4 linked regions of the Mus musculus genome follow. The protein of the gene in region 3 interacts with the protein of the main gene of each other region in a pairwise test. Links are inferred from orthologs where the notes say so. Each region holds a gene or a part of one and is shown on either strand. Other genes may lie near its edges.

Evidence for each region.
Region 1: the proteins of Pde6d (region 3) and Rap1a interact in a two-hybrid assay, tested with the Homo sapiens proteins (2 studies listed by BioGRID). The link is inferred for Mus musculus from reciprocal best matches to the Homo sapiens genes PDE6D and RAP1A.
Region 2: the proteins of Pde6d (region 3) and Arl15 interact in binary tests that used the Homo sapiens proteins (3 or more experiments, as listed by UniProt). The link is inferred for Mus musculus from reciprocal best matches to the Homo sapiens genes PDE6D and ARL15.
Region 4: the proteins of Pde6d (region 3) and Arl3 interact in binary tests that used the Homo sapiens proteins (3 or more experiments, as listed by UniProt). The link is inferred for Mus musculus from reciprocal best matches to the Homo sapiens genes PDE6D and ARL3.

The regions. Positions count from the first base shown.
Region 1 is NC_000069.6:105,735,042-105,739,077, forward strand, and holds part of Rap1a (ras-related protein Rap-1A), read right to left. Parts: intron 2,858-4,036; coding exon 2,714-2,857; intron 139-2,713; exon of another isoform or gene 24-138; intron 1-23. UniProt on the Homo sapiens protein: Counteracts the mitogenic function of Ras, at least partly because it can interact with Ras GAPs and RAF in a competitive manner. Together with ITGB1BP1, regulates KRIT1 localization to microtubules and membranes.
Region 2 is NC_000079.6:113,792,798-113,797,423, forward strand, and holds the start of Arl15 (ADP-ribosylation factor-like protein 15), read left to right. Parts: upstream 1-1,710; 5' UTR 1,711-1,851; coding exon 1,852-1,899; intron 1,900-4,626.
Region 3 is NC_000067.6:86,544,684-86,548,719, reverse strand, and holds part of Pde6d (retinal rod rhodopsin-sensitive cGMP 3',5'-cyclic phosphodiesterase subunit delta), read left to right. Parts: intron 1-1,102; coding exon 1,103-1,191; exon of another isoform or gene 1,192-1,284; intron 1,285-1,937; coding exon 1,938-2,063; intron 2,064-2,912; coding exon 2,913-3,018; intron 3,019-4,036. UniProt on the Homo sapiens protein: Promotes the release of prenylated target proteins from cellular membranes. Modulates the activity of prenylated or palmitoylated Ras family members by regulating their subcellular location.
Region 4 is NC_000085.6:46,542,104-46,546,139, reverse strand, and holds part of Arl3 (ADP-ribosylation factor-like protein 3), read left to right. Parts: intron 1-2,607; coding exon 2,608-2,658; intron 2,659-3,602; coding exon 3,603-3,788; intron 3,789-4,036. UniProt on the Homo sapiens protein: Small GTP-binding protein which cycles between an inactive GDP-bound and an active GTP-bound form, and the rate of cycling is regulated by guanine nucleotide exchange factors (GEF) and GTPase-activating proteins (GAP).

The sequences.
Region 1 (4,036 bases), on a different chromosome or scaffold from region 3:
CATCTTTGGAAAACATGGCCTACCTCACAGCAGCAGGTGGTTCAGTGATGAGGGCAAGTTCGAACTATAATATTTGGTTAGAAATGCTGAAAGTTCCCAGCCTAGGTTCGTCCTCATCTCTCTGAACTATAGAAAAATCTAGAGGGAACACAGAATAGAGTTTCTCAACCCCTCTCCCATTCCTAATTGGGATGTCTTTATTCCAATCATTACTCTAGCCTCAGCAAAGAACAAGAAATTTGGGGCTAAGATTGAGGTATTTCCAGTGCACTGATTGATACTTGTAGAATAGAGAGAATTAGAGGGCTCTGGCCAAGCACTGTGTCCCTATCTGTTGCAAATTTAAAGTCAAGAGCTGAATCTTGTGAAATTATTATTCCCCTATCTTCATGCATTCAGAAACCATACAAGCATTAGAACAGCAGTTTGAGTGGTCTGAAAAACCACCAACTATTCAAGGAATTTTGCAGCTGAATTATTAGGCTATGAAGAGTGAGATCTTAAAAAAACAAATACCTCAAATTATACTCTCATTTCTAGCATGTAGTCTGTGTGGTTTCTCAAAGAAGTGGAGACTATTATGATGACTATGGCACTTTATATTGTTTTTTAAACCCCTATGTAAAGCTTGAACAAGACACCATGAATAAGTCAATTCTGCTGCATTAGAAACTGCAACCCAGGGGGTTTAATAGCCTGTGTGGGATCCCACAATCTTGTAAAGATAAAAGACGAGGAATACTTACTTTCTCCCTACTAAACTCTGGCTCCTACAGGGAGAGGTCTTGTGTGATAGAACTCTGGTCCAACTCAGCTCTGCACATTTGATGAACGTGGAAGGTGGATAGCAGTGAGGGTGACAGACAAAGTAAGGAACCAGATTCCAAAGGCCAAATCATCCTTCATAAGGTGACACTGCACTACAACTCTACGACCCAGGGGCATTCACCAACTGTAATGTATTCTTCATTAAAGTATTCTCAGCTCACTTTAGTTGGGTCTTGTGATATATAGTGCAGGCTGGCCTAGAACTCCCAGTCCTGCCTTGACCTCCAGACTGCTGGGATGACAAGTGCATGCCACTATATCTGGGTCCTTTTCTTGCTCATTCATGTTTTCAAAAAATACTATATTAAACATTAAAATTTTATTACAGCCATATTTTAAAAACAACCTCTAGGAAATTCTAATTCTATAACAAAAGAGGATGAGTGACAGCTCTCAATTTCTTCTCACTGACCTAGCAGTGAATAACAAATAACTGTATGGCAGGGCTCAGTAGGACTGGTTCCTCAACTAGGATGTAAACCTCTTAATGGCTGAAATCGTTCTGTCTGGATGACTGCCACTTGGGTACAGAATGAAGTGCCAGGCATACTACAGGTACTCAATGTGTTTGCCAGGTAAGTGGAATTAAAAGATTTTTGTATTTGTTAAAAGTGGTTTCACCTAAAAAAAGCAAGCTTTAGCATTCTTGATTATGATAAGAAACAGAATATATAGTAAGCTGACTTTTTTTCCTTACCAGATGTTTAAAATAATATTCTACAAGCACAGTCCTGAAAAATGATTTACAGAACCAGAGGCCAGAGAAGTGCAACCCCAGCCTTGATGAGCAAGCCTTCTCTTATTCTCACCTGTGTCCAGGTACCTGCGACACTACAATGGCAAGTGCATCAGCCAGAGAAGGAAAAAAGAGGCTTACTCGGCCTTTCTGCACCATTTATTGCAAATGATTTTGGTAAACAACATAGTAGTACACATGGCTCCAGCTGCATCTGTAGTAGAGGATGGCCTTGTCATGCATCAGTGGAAGGAGAGGTCATTGGTCCTGTGAAGGCTCTATGCCCCGGTGTAGAGCCATTGTAGGCAGGGAGGTGGGAGTGGGTGGGTGGGTGGAGGAACACCCTCATAGAAGCAGGGGGAGGGAGGGTGTGATAGAGTGTTTTGAGGAGGGAGGGAACCCAGGAAAGGGGATAACCTTTGAAATGTAAATAAAATACCCAATTAAAAAAAAAGTTCCAAAAGCAAAAGAACTCTCATGGATGTGCCTGATTGGTGTTAGCAATTTGGGAAATGAACTAATTTTTGGGGGCTCGGTCAACTATTGCCTTTTTAAAATGAGGCACATAAGATTATTTGCAAAGCCTTCTGGACCGTAGTTAAGATCTTAAATAGTGAGGTGCTCAAATTAGACACACGCGCATCCCGACTCCCAATCTGAAGGACTGAGTGGTTTGACTTACACGTTTGCTCACACAGACCACACTTAGGCATGCATCAAAAGGAGCAAGAAAAAAATAGGAGCAAGAATCAAAATCAAATTCTATGATGGTATTTTATAACGAAGGCTCATTATAATGGCAACTTTTAATTTTTTTTTTACTGTTCTATTGGACTTTACCACCTATTTATATTCAACTGAATAAGTAACTTATAATAAAAAGTGCTGGGTCAAGTTTCAAATGCTAGCACTGGCATATCACTTAAAAGTTTTAGCAGGATTTTATATGCAGCCTGTGACAATAAGGTAACATTAGGTGTCTGCACTGAAACTCTTAAGAGAATGATGTCATGGAAGCCAAAGAACACAGTGTCTAGAAATTACTATTTTCTACAAGGTGGTAAAATTGAGATTTTTATTTTTTCTGAAAACTTCTGGCTATGAAAATAAAAAGGCACTTGTTTACACTGTCCAACGGTTGCAGGTTACCTCATTAACGTTGATCTTTGACTTTGCAGAAGATTCTAAAAAGGCACAGTTACACCACTGTCTTGCTAAATTCTGGCCTTGTTCTTTGCCAACTACCCGTTCATCTTCCAAGTCACATTTATTGCCAACCAAAATCATTGGAACCTGCAGGAAGGAAAAAGAACACAGCAGTTTGCAACTGTATATATCACTAAGTGATTCCAGGTGCTGTGTGTTGTGGTTGCTCAGGACAGAAGGAGAATGGAAGGCAGAGAGAGGGGCCAAAAATAGTGAACTCCTACTGGACTCACACACCAATTATTATAAAGAATATGATTCCATTTTTTCTTAATGTAGTGTATGAATGCAATGCACCATGTTCATGTGTGGTGCCCGGGGAGGCCAAAAGAGCTACAGAGGACTGTGAACTACTATGTGGGTACTGAGCATTGAACCCTGGTCCTTTGGGAGGACAGCAAGTGTTAACTACTGAGCCATCTCTCCATTCCTTAATAATAAAGAATAAAAATAGGAGTTGAAGAGACAACTCAGTGGTCAAGAGCATTTGCTGCTCTTCTAGAGGACCTGAGTTCAGTTTCCAACATTCACATCAGATGGCTCACAATCACCTGTAACTCCAGCTCCAGGGACTCTAACATCCGCTTTCAGCCTCCCTGGACACCCCTTAACAAGCGGAAGACACAACAAGCAGCTGTGTCTTTCCTGTCACTCCATACCACAGATGTTTGACTGTCTTTAACACAACATCCTACTTCCAATAAAACATTCAGCTAACAAACTGTGTTAGGTTCTTCAGCTAAATGTTCAGAGAACAAAGCCAGAAGGTTGTAAGGCAACGTACTACACACAAAAAGAACGTTCGGGATGTGATGAACCTTTTACCCAAAACAGGTTACATTAAACAGTCTAGGCATCTTTCTTCTTTTACTGACGGAGTAAAGGGGATTAACATTTTCAGAACTCACTGATCTGTGTGTTATGAAACAGAACTCTCTGGATAAAGCAAGGAAGACAACTATTCATTAAGGCAGTCATGGAGTCATATGGCACCTATTCCTCCTACCAACAATGTTACCAAGATTAAGGTCCTGAGAAGTTGTACATGCTCCCATTAGAAAACACACACACACACACACACACACACACACACAAAACCAGGAATGTGTAACTGAAAATTTCTATCTTAATTTATATAATGCAAAAGGAATTTCCCCATAAGTTCCAGGTGATGTAAACATATACAATATATTTTTTTTTTACAAAGGTAAGCAAAAAGCATATGCTACCAACAAAGGTAGCATATGACTATAATCCCAGTATTTA
Region 2 (4,626 bases), on a different chromosome or scaffold from region 3:
TGCTGTGTTAACAAATCATAGGAGACTCCTCCTCTTCTTTTTCCGAGACAAGGTTTCTTCTCTGTGTAGCCTTGCAGGTGGTCTCCAACTCAGGGATCTGCCTGTATCTTTGCTGGGATTAAAGGTACCACCAGGCCGACAAAATTCTACTATAATCATTGCAGGAAATGTTCACTTAGAACACTGTCCACAGCTCTTATCCTAAGAATTTCTAGAAATGGAATTACTGGTACAAAAGATATGGCACCCTTTTAATATTCATTTTTGAATACACGTGTACAGACAGAGCTGGCCTTTATTGATATAATTTTCAAGATATATGTGTTTAAGTAATAACTTCTTAAAAGGAGTTGTTCTGTTTTGTTTTGTTTTACTCCAGGGTTAGTAAGTCTCAGTTGCACTAAGCCAGTAGATTCAATTTTGATTTTTATTTTCTTGCCATTCTATATTTTACTCCTCTCCATACCCAACTCCAAATGGCATGCTTATCTTGTCTCACCTTTGCCTTGACTGTCCTTTCTAGCCTGAATCTTGGAGGTGAAAGAAAAAAAATCCAGAACTGACCGTTGTCTTTATCTCGCTTGACTCCCATTTTCACTCAATTCCAAGTAATTCTTTTTTAAAAAAATTTTAAAATTTTTCTATTTTTTATTTTTTGGTTTTTCGAGACAGGGTTTCTCTGTATTTCTCTGGCTGTCCTGGAACTCACTCTGTAGACCAGGCTGGCCTCGAACTCAGAAATCCGCCTGCCTCTCTGCCTCCCAAGTGCTGGGATCAAAGGCGTGCACCACCACTGCCCGGGCCCCAAGTTTGTTTGTTTGTTTTTTTGAGACAGGGTTTCTCTGGATTTCTCTGTGTAGCCCTGGCTGTCCTGGAATTCGTTCTGTAGACCAGGCTGGCCTCGAACTCAGAAATCCACCTGCCTCTGCCTCCCAAGTGCTGGGATTAAAGGCGTGCGCCACCACCGCCCGGCTTGCTTTTTTTTTTCTTTTTTTCTTTTTTTTTTTTTTAATTTAGGAAACGCACAAGTCTCAAGTGCACCGGCTCTGTTTTTCCTAAGATAAGGTTCACAAACAGTATTACTTGGGTCCTTTAGAGGACTTTCACAATCCCACCGCTCATTCTATTCAGGTACATTGGATTAAGCATGCAAAGATCAGATGCCTGTCTCCTTCAATGTTTGGGGTGATCAATTTACTTGTGAGTCTCTAGGTTCCTAGTCTGGACTGCACTGGTGCTGAGCCGCAGGAAGGTCAAGTTCAAGTTGTCCGCCGTAGCAGACACCCACACCCTGGAGGGTCAATGCAGTCCCCAGTACTGCACAGTTTGCCTTCTTTAAGGTGTCTGCCCTTCTAATCCGCAGGTCCAGGGCGTTTCAAGGCCACAGGAAGGCGCTCGGGGCAACTGCCTCCCACCGCCCTGGGCTGCTTTCTTAAGGAGGGGTGGGCGGGGACGCCGCCGCCGCTGCTCTTCAATCTCAGGCAGGCTGCTTGCCGGGTCTCGAGCGGACTAGAGGCTGAGAGTCGGCCTCCCGGGGCCGCAGCGCGTTTCCGCCCGCCCCTCCCCCAGCAAACAGGAACCAGCACCGTCCCGGGTCCCGCGCTTCTCTGCTGCCCTCCACCGGGGGGACTGCCTTTTATAGACACTCCGGCCAATGAGCGCGCTCCTTTTCCTCGGCCCGCCCTCCCAGCCAATCGTCGCTTCCCTGGTGTAATCTTCGGCTCCTCGGCTGCTCTCGGCGATCTTCGCTGTTGCTGGCTTTTTCAGGAGCTGCTCGCTGGCAGCCCGAGACGCTGCTGCTTTTTTTTTTTTTCCGGGTTCGGAGCCATTCCGGATGCTTTAGGCTGCCGGATGTCTGATCTCCGGATAACTGAGGCGTTTCTGTACATGGATTATCTGGTAGGTGCGGGGCGCCGGCGGCATGTCGCCTCTCGGATCTCGCGGTGGCCCATGGCCCCCTGCCTGGAGCAGCAGCCTCTCGGCTTTCTTTCTTTGGGATGGGATGCCTTGGGTTGCTTTCTCCCGGGGCTGGCTCTGAGGGGCGGCGGCGGGGGGAGAGGACGGGCTGACAGGTAAAGGCGCGGAGGGGACCGGCGGGACTGCGGGAGATGGGGCCACGCTCCGCGCGCCTCTCCGCGCTCCCGGCGCAGGACTTTCTTTCCGGGGAAGCTGGAGTTTTCCGCTCTCCTCTTAGCAGAACTCCAAGAGCTATTAAAGAGCCATAAGCAGAATGGCTCGCTAAGTGCCTGGCAGGTCCGGTCATTTGGTCGTTATTAGATCTCTAAAGGAATGACCTGGGTCGTGGCGGGATTTTAAAAACACATTACCAGAAAGTAGACTGGACTAAACCACATTGCAACCCGGCCTGAGCAGGATTGGGCAGGGACAGGCATTGCCCCGCGGCTGTGGTTGTGGTGCACGCCGCTTTTGTGCATGGTGTGCATGGTTTGGCAATCGGTTTGAGATCAGCCCCGTGCTGGGAAGTTTAGGTAGGAAAAGTTTTTTTAGCACAGCGCTGGAACGGAACACTTAGACGTGTTTCTAGAATTGTGCAAGCCTCGTGTTTTCGTTCCAGAAATTGTATTTCCACAGAGCTGCCTGTTTGTGGTCAAGCAGATCCTTTTTGACATGAACCGTGTTCGATCCTGCCCATTTTCTGCGTGGATGGTGTCAGAACGAACGGCTGTTGCCATGCAGTGCTGAAGTAGAGGGTTAGAAGTGTTGGCCCTTCTGTCATCCTGTAGGACACATGGTTTTTCCACTGCAGATTGGCCTAGCAGAGATTTGTCAGTGCCTTCTAGGAATTACACTTAAGGCTGTACGGAGAAAGACCGAATACTTTCCAGACCAAGAAAGAGAGGGCTGCGTTGTAACGTTACCAGTGTATGAGGGTTTATTCAGGTGTGTAGAAACTGGCAAGGATGGAGACCAGTTAGTGCGCGACCTTGAGAACAGAGCCGAAGTCAGAGTCTCAGTTGAATTTTGGTTTTGCTGTCTATGTATTCATGGCAGTGACTTCTATCTTTGTCATAAAGGGGTGTTATCGCTGCGCCAGGTTAGGTGGGCTATCTGTGAACATTCTTTAAGCGTCCTTGTAGGTTGATGATTCTCAAATATGTCCAGGAGGCTATTTTGAAAGTTAAATGGTTGGTTGATTTGTAGTTTACCCATATCATGCTATGGCTATGTCTTGTAATCTGCCCCACAAAACGCCAGTTTGCTGAGAAAAAAAAATTACCAAATAAGAAGAAAGTATAGGGCATCTTACCTGTACTGCTAATTTTGGATACTTAGTGATTCGGAGAGGTATTCGGGGCGGGGGGTGGGGGGTGGGGTGGGGTGGATTCTCATGATCTGCTGAGACTGTTGTAGTACTTCAGCACATAGCTGTCTTTGAGGTAGCAGGCCCACTAAAAGACCTGAGGGAAAACAGCATTGCAGATTGCTCAGGTCACCTGCCATGTAGACATGGGTTCAGAGTAGATGGATGAATATTTGTAGGTATAAGGTTACCCTGGGAGTTTAGGTCATTGTCACTGGGCCCTGGGTTTCACTTTGACTTGGCCCATCTGTTTTACCTGTTTCCCTAACACCTTTTTTTGGCTTTCGTATAAAATCATTGTTTGGCCACTTCAGTGTGCTTTCAATAATTCCCAAGTGCCTTGAAGCTAACTGTCCCGTAAAAGTCAGGGGCTATACTGGAGGTGGGGTGGGGGAGAAAACAAAGTCTTAAAGGAGACAGGTCAGGTTTTATGAGTGTGTTAGGTATCCCTGTGAAAACACTGAAGAAAGTCCTTCCCCACTAAATGGACCAGAGGGGAAACAAAACAAACTCTGGAGTTCGAGAGGTTGCTTTACTGTGCTTTCCCGCTGACCCACTCGCAGAGAAAACCGTGAGATACATCGCTCCATTCTCCTTGTCTACCAGGTGGCTTGTTTGCTCATGCGAAATCTTGGCATGGTGTCTGTTTAAAATCCTGTTTCTGAAAAAGTAAAGGATCGATTTCTTTGATTGGGCCTGGCATCTTATTAATCGATTCCTAAGTTCCTATATTTCCCTTCCAGGAGGGGCTGGGGATGTTTCTTTCATTCCTAGTTGGACTGCAGGTTTTGCAGAGTGGACTAGAGTGAGTGCCCTCTTCATGCCCCTGTCAGGAGTAATGTGTGCCCTCCCTCCATCCTTTCTTCTCCAGTGCTGGGATTTTTGTTGTTATGTCAGAAAGGAAAGCTCTACGTGGAGGTGTTAGCCATTGTCCTTTATTTGGGTGCTATCACTTAACTTATTTTATTTGGGGGAGAGTCTAAAGGAAGTGTGTGTGCGTGTGCTTGAGTGTGTGTGCATGCTATTTTTAACAACTTCTGATAGCACTGAAATGGTAAGACAGATGAAGAAAGCTCTCTGATCTTAGAAGTTGCAGTTAATTTCTTGACTATTCTTGTGACAGCTAAGATGAAGGCTCTGTCTTAATATTTAAGACGGAGGTTTTATTAATCTTGGTTCAGGGAAAGAGGGATGCCTTGCAAATCCTAAATAATTACATGTTACACCGGTTACTGTACCTGGCTTGGTGCCTGGCATGGAGTTAGAGCCCGGGATTGCATGATGATGAGTGGATGCGGGACCTG
Region 3 (4,036 bases):
AACAGATATTCAGTTGATTATCCCATAAATTGTAGCAGCCATGAACCACAAAAAAAAATAATCAACTAAAATATAGAAATTCTGTGATATAGAACACCTGGCAGTTGTGTTATAGCATGTCTTTCTCATTTTTAAAGATTGCTTCTGTGTGTGCTACTTATGTTGCATGTCTGTGTGTGTCTGTGTGTGTCGGGGGGGGGGGGGGCAGAAGAGAGCATTAGATCACCTGGAGCTGAAGATATTGGCAGTTGTGAGCCGCCCCATATGGGTTCTGTAAGCTGAACTCTGGACCCCTGACAAAAGGTACAACAGACTTTAACCACTGAGCCATCTCTCCAGTGATATCTTTTTATTATTTTTTAATATTCTTTTTTAAAATTTTGCATCTTGATCTGTATTTTTTCTCTTATTTTTTCTTTGTTTTCATAGTAAATGTCTTGATTTCTGATGATTCTTGGCTGACTGGGTTGCGTGTGTATGCCTGTGTGTCTCTCTCCATGTGTACATATGCCACAGTACTTTTGTGGAGGTCAGAGAGGTCAGAGGACATCTACTGGGCATCTGTTCTGCACTTCCACCGTGAGATCTAGAGGTCAAGCTGTCTCCTAACACTTAAAAGGTCTGGGAGAGCTGTGCAGTAGTGAGGGAGGCTCATGAACTGTAACTGTATGGCTTAGTCCTTTGGTGGTACCCTGAGATCTGACCTGTTATATTTTTACCATTTTTTGGCTGATGAGACTCCTCTGACATATTTAGATTTTTTTCACTATTCTTTCTTCTAGCCCTTGCTACCAGTTCTAGTTGCTATCTTTGAGTTCTTTCCTTTCTCTCAATGCTGAGATTTGAAGAAGGGCCTTGAAACTACTAAGCAAGCTCCCCACCACTGAGCTATATCCCAGTTCATGTCTCAGATGTTATGTAACATGGTGTAGATTAAAAACCTCTGGAGTCAGCTGGGCTTGGTGGCGCATGCCTTTAATCCCAGCACTCAGGAGGCAGAGGCAGGCCGATTTCTGAGTTCCAGGCCAGCCTGGTCTACAAAGTGAGTTCCAGGACAGGGATTGTTCTCAGAGCCTCAGTCTCCTTAATCATACTTGATCAGAAATTGGATGAACCTTCGGGATGCCGAAACAGGGAAGATACTCTGGCAAGGAACAGAAGACCTGTCTGTCCCTGGTGTGGAACATGAAGGTACTTTGCAGCCCCTTGAGTGTACAAACTATGCCCACTGCCAGAACAGACCCTGGCATCAAGGAGCTAAGTAAGCACGCAGCTACTAGACAGGTGAGCCCTGCAGGTGAACCGAGAGAACACTTCTTGTTCCATTTTTACATTTCCTTCTCTCACTTCCCAAATCCACCTTAGCTCTGGACCATCCCCAGATCTGGATGTGATGGCATGTTCCTGTAATCCCAGCACTTTGCAGATTGAGACAGAAAGATCAGGAGTTCAAGGCCAGCCTCAGCTATATAGTTAATTTAAAGCCAATCTGGACCACATGAAACCTTGTCTCAAAAAGGAAAGAAAAGGGAAGTTATAATATTTCAACTTTTTCCAGAAGAAAATTTTCATTTTTATCTTTCTGGAGGAAAAAAGGAAAGGTAAATCATTTCAAGAAATCAGAGCATAAAGCAGGCTCTGACAGCTGCACAGAGAGAGGATGTTCATCACAGCCAAAAGCATGGTGAGGCCTGTGGAGACACCTAATCTGGTGTTCCTTGACGACGAGTCTCCTGTGCTGACCAATTAGATCCCTCTGCCTTTAGCTGGAACATAATGCAGTTACCAAGGCGTTTAATGAAAGCTAATTATCCAAACAAATTCTCTAAGGCAGCCAAAGGAACTCCCAGGATCCTGAAGTGTTGTATCTGTGGTTCTCATTTAGAATAGTACCAATCTCTCTCTCTCTCTCTCTCTCTCTCTCTCTCTCTCATCAGCCCGTGTGCCCAAGAAAATCCTCAAGTGCAAGGCAGTGTCTCGAGAATTGAACTTTTCTTCAGCAGAACAAATGGAAAAATTCCGCCTGGAACAAAAAGTTTACTTCAAAGGACAATGCCTAGAAGGTATTCTGCCCCATGTGTGTCTGGAGCTGGGGGGGGGCAGCAGGCAGGCAGTGCTCTGAAAGCACTGACCTTATCACTAATGGACTCTACATTCTACAGCACTGGGAAACCCCAGTGAATACGAACCAAAACAAGACTGGACACCAAGTAAAGTGGGCTTTGAGTTCTCTGATATGAGAAGCCTGGGTGCCCGTACCTGTGCCTGTGCCTGTGCCTGATGTGGTGTTGTTACAATGTGATCTTGGAAGAAGCAGTTTATGATGAAGTGTAGTATAGGGTTGTGTCTATACATCATAAGCTGTGACTGGGAAGGACTCTGAACTGAGTACTCAAAATATCAGAGAACACGTAGACACTGGAGTGCTGCCTACCTCTGATTTACTGCAGAGCTTGCTGCTCCTAAGAAAATGCTGCTTCTAATGTCTCCTTCCCGATCCTTGTCTATTAAACCCATAAGGAACAGCCCAGTGTCCCTGAGTGTAGTCGTGTACGCCTTTAATACGAGCACTCAGGAAGTAGAAGCAGGTGGACCTCTTGTGAGTTTGAGGCCAGCCTGGTCTACAAGTGAGTTCCAGGATAGCCAGAGCTACACAGAGATACCCTGTCTTGAAAAACCAAAAAAGAAAAAAGAAATAAAAGAGAAAAAAAGCCAGCCTGTGGCACAAATCAGAAGAGAGTCTGTGAGTGTCCCTGTGTCCTTTCGTGTAACTCTCTGATTTAGGAGGTATCTGATAGGTTTCTTTTGTGGTTCTGGATAGGGAAAACCCACTCTAAAGGAGAGGGACACAGCCTATAGTTCCCCATGCCCATAAGTAGCACCTGCTCACTGGCTTTTCCTTCTTCCTTCAGAGTGGTTCTTCGAGTTTGGCTTTGTGATCCCTAACTCCACAAACACCTGGCAGTCCTTGATAGAAGCAGCGCCTGAGTCCCAGATGATGCCCGCCAGCGTCCTAACGTGAGTGAGGGCCCAGTAGACTTCAAAATGTATCTTAGAACAGGCATTCAGGCAGGCGGGACTCCAGGTCCTACTCACAGGCAGAAAAGTAGAAAGAACAAACAGGCCGGGCAGTGGTGGCCCACACCTTCAATCCCAGCACTCGGGAGGCAGAGACAGGTGGATTTCTGAGTTCAAAAACAGCCTGGTCTACAAAGTGAGTTCCAGGACAGCCAGGGCTATACAAAAAACCCTGTCTCAAAAAAACAAAAACAAAAAAATTTAAAAATAAAAATAAAAACATTGTCAGTAACTGCCACCTAACCTTTTTCTCTTGGGACAAGATAGAGTCTTTCAAATATTTCAGTAGGCCCGGGGTTGTATTTCAGTGGTAGAGAGCTTGCTTAACATAGGTGAATTCTATGATCTTCACTGCCAAAAGAAAGTCTCAGTATTAGTGTTGCCTAAAAAGTTAAGACCTACATATAATTGTGCCACACTAGTTCATCTGGCAGGAGATACTCCCTGAAAGCCACAGCAAGTGGATAAAAGAGCTATAAAAGGGGCTAGAGAGGTGGCTCTCCAGCTAAGAGTACTGGATGCTCTTCCAGAGGATCCAAGTTTGAGTCCCAGCATTCACAGGCAATTCTCAGCTCTCTGTGGCTCCAGTTCCATGGAACATGAAACCCTCCTCTGGCCTCCACGGGCACCAGGCACATGTGTGTTGCACACAGGCAAAACATCCATACACATAACAATACTTTTTATTCTTAATTTTTTTTGAGACAAGATCTCTATGTAGTCCTGACTATCCTGGAACTCACTCTGTAGACCAGGCTGGCCTCAAACTCAGAGATTTGCCTGTCTCTGCCTTTATCTTCCAAGTCTTGGCATCTTCCACAACACCCAGCCTTAAAATAATTATTTTTTTAAATAAAATATTTTTTAAACCCTCAAAGGGATTTGATATGGCAACAGTATTCCGTTTTATAGATGGGAGCATTCATGGCTCAGTGGGAGTGTTCTTGCCTGAATGCAC
Region 4 (4,036 bases), on a different chromosome or scaffold from region 3:
TTATATTTAAGTACACTGTAGTTGTCTTCAGACACTCCAGAAGAGGGAACCAGATCTTGTTACGGAAGGTTGTGAGCCACCATATGGTTGCTAGGATTTGAACTCAGGAAGAGCAGTCGGTGCTATTACCCGCTGAGCCATCTCACCAGCCCATGGCAGTACTCTTAACCACTGAACTATCTCCCAGCCCCCCCCCCCCCCCCCCCGACCATTCTTGAGAGAAAATGTAAACTTGGATTCTGGAATAGTAGTGAGCACTAGTGACTAAATGAAGAAACATTGTGCGAAAAAATTATCATTAACTCTTCCGAACCTCAAACAATCTTTACTGTGCCTATAGTGCAGGCTGACTTCAAATTCATGATCCTTCTGCCTCAGCCTCCCAAACAGTGAGAACCCAGGTGTCTATCACCAAGTTCACTAAGTAACAATGTTATTTTCATAAAGTTTTTAAAAAACATGCCAGGTGGTGAGGGGCACACCTTTTTTTTTTTTTTTTTTTTTTTAAAGATTTATTTATTTATTATATGTAAGTACACTGTAGCTGTCTTCAGACACTCCAGAAGAGGGAGTCAGATCTCGTTAGGGATGGTTGTGAGCCACCATGTGGTTGCTGGGATTTGAACTCTGGACCTTTGGAAGAGCAGTCGGGTGCTCTTACCCACTGAGCCATCTCACCAGCCCAGGGGACACACCTTTAATCCCAGCACTTTGAAGAGGTGGTCAAATCTTTTGATTCAAGGCCAGCCTAGTCTACAAAGAGAGTTCCAGGACAGCCAGGGTTAGACAGAAACTCTGTCTTGGAAAAAAAAAAAAAAGGGTGCTAGAGAGGTGTTTCTGTGGCTGAAAGTCCTGACTGCTCTTGTAGAGGCCCTCGGTTCATGTACCAGCACTCACCTGGTGACTCACAACCTCTCTAACTCCAGTCCTAGGAGATCCACCACCCTCTTCTGGCCTCTGTGGGACATGCTATACGACATGGCCTGTGCAGACAAAACACCCATGCATATAAAAGAAATAAAATGCTTAAAAAGTACAAAGTTTTTTTCCAATTTTCTTTTTAAATGTGTATATGAAGAATTAGGAAAGAACTTCTCTTTTCTTCAAGACAGGTCTCACTAGGAGTGAGTTAAAATTAGCTTAGCCTGGCCTCATTCTCAGCAATCCTCCTGCCTCAGCCCCTAACATGCTGGAATTACAAACTTGAGCTACCACACCTGATGGGGTGGAGCCTTTTGTAGAATATTTGTTTGACTGGTTGTTTGGATGGTTTTTCAAAACAGGGTCTCTCTGTGTAACTGGCCTGCCTATGCTGGAACTTAGATCAGTCTGGTGGGACAGGGCCTTCTGTAGGATATCTATCTGTCTGTCTATCTGTCTTTCTATCTGTTTGGTTTTGCAAGACGGGATTTCTCTCTATACAAAAGTCCTGGCTGTCCTGGAACTTACTGTAGGATATTAATCAATCCATCTATCTATCTATCCATCTATCTATCTATCTATCATCTATCTATCTATCTATCTATCTATCTATCTATCTATCTATCTATCTAGATATTGGTTTTTCAAGGCACAGTCTCTCTGTTTAACAGTCCCAGCTGACTTGGAACTTACTATGTAGACTAGGCTAGCCTTGAACTCACAAAGATCCATCTGTCTCTGCTTCCAGAGTTCTGATTTTTCAAGACATGGCCTCTCTGTGTAACAGTCCTGGCTGTCCTGGAACTTACTGTGTAGACCAGGCTGGCTTTAAACTCACAAAGATCCTCCTGCCTCTGCCCCATGCCCACTGCTTTCTGTAGGAGGTTTAAATTGCCAGTGTTTTTAGAAGCTGTGACTATGGATGGTTTTTTATTCTCTTTTTAAAACGTTATTTTCCTTACTGTTATGTAACTAAAACTCATGGGTAGAGGGGGAAGCTTCAAATTTATAACTTACAATGAGTCTCGAATTTTCTTTCTGCTGGGAAAGCTGAGGTGAGTACTCACGTAGCAGTCACGTAAAGCTCTGAGTTCAATCCCCAGCACCCCTTAAAACACACCGAGACCCAGCAAGCAGAGGGAAGTTCAAAATTCCAGGGGCATCCTTGACTACAAAGCCAGTTCAGGGCCAGCCTGGACTACATGATACCCTGACGCAAAACAAACAAACAAAACAACGACATTAACTTCTAGTATAGCTTGTCCTTCTATTTCTAGACTTCCCTTGACATCACAGCAGCATGTGGTGATGATAGCAATGAACAAATAACTGTCCCTTGTCATGGTCCCAAAGTCAGCCTAGAAGTAATGCTGAAGCAGTGTTGTCAGAGAAGAGACACCCCAGAAGTGTAGGATTGCAGGTGCCCCCAAACACCCAACACATCCCCGGGGGCTCCCTCCAGGGTTAATCCCTGGGTTTCTGGGCTCCCCCCTGGTGTGTTTTCCCAGCATCCTTAGTTCATGCATTCGGTTTTCTTGCTCCACAGGTGAAGTGAGCTGAGGCCAGGCTGTTTGCATTTGTTGGGTTAATCTGAACTCTCTTGACTGAGGACCAGTTTTTTTTTAAAGTTGCCCCTTCTCTTTCTGTCTCTGTGTATTAAAGTAACATTCTGGTTTTCTATTGCAGATCTATGTAATTGACAGTGCCGACAGAAAGAGATTTGAAGAGACGGGTCAGGTAAATGCTTTATGTGTTGACCCTTCCCTAAACCCCAGCGCTCATCAATCCACCTGGAAGTGTATGTGAGGGACAGGAGTGCCTTTTGTTAACTATTACAGACCCGGAAGAGGCTCACTCTGGTGAGCAGGCGAAAATACAACTGTCCAAAAAGAAATTAGTTGGGAGTCTTTCACAATGTCGTTTGGTGAAGTCCTTTTAGCTTGATCAAATTGAATATAAAAAAATCTAAGCAAGTGGAACTTTGCACCACACCCCAAAGCCCTTCTGTGTGTCTTCCCAGACCACGTAGGAATGAACTCAGGGACACTACACTGAGCACTTCTGGTTATACTTTTCCATCCTTAATTGACCAGGAGTACTTGATCAAACACTGGCAAATTCAGAAGGGTGAGAAGAAAAACACAAGCCAAAACTCAGCTTCTTTTTCTCACGCCGGGAAACAAGATCAGCCTTGAACTCAAATACGGCTTTAACTGCAGGGTGCATGTCAATATGTTTAGATGATACGGTCTGTGTATACAGTCATACACAGAGCAGCCTGGGGCCTCGACCATTGGACCCAGATGAGGCCACCCCCAGGAGCAGCGAGGATAGAGGGAATCTTTAGAGAGCCATGTTTGGATCTCGGTGCAGAAAGTTTGCCCTGTATCCAATGGCTGAAGATCCCGGGTTTCTGCTTCTTTGTCCTGGGAAGTGGGTTGAGGCTTTCCAGAGTGCTGGCTCTAACTTTCTATAGTCAGAATTCCTAGTTTGAGCCCAGAAATTTGCTAGGGAATCTTCCAAAGGTACAAGCCTGAGATCTCTACCTTAAAGTTGCTGCTGATCAACCTAACAGCTTAGTGTGCTATGATTCCAAGTGTGGCGTGCGCTCACGTGTCATGGTTGTCAAGCTTCTCTCTCTCTTCTCCCTCCCCCCTCCCCCCCCAAAAAAAATGGTCCAGGAACTAACGGAATTACTGGAGGAAGAAAAGCTGAGTTGTGTGCCCGTGCTCATCTTTGCTAACAAGCAGGACCTGCTCACGGCAGCCCCAGCCTCCGAGATCGCAGAAGGGCTAAACCTCCACACCATCCGGGACCGCGTCTGGCAGATCCAGTCCTGTTCAGCGCTCACAGGCGAGGGCGTCCAGGTGAGATGGTGGCAAGGCTTCGCTTCCTGTCCACATGGCAGCTCCCTGAAGCATCTGCCTCACTGGCAGATCCCTGTGGGGTTTTAAGATCATTGGAAAAAATGGATGTTTTCATTACGATTCATAACAGTAGCAAAATTACCGTTATGAAGTAGCAATGAAATATTTTTATGGTTGGGGGTCACCACAACATGAAGAACTATATTAAAGGGCCGCAGCATTAGGAAGGCTGAGAACCCCTGGTCTTT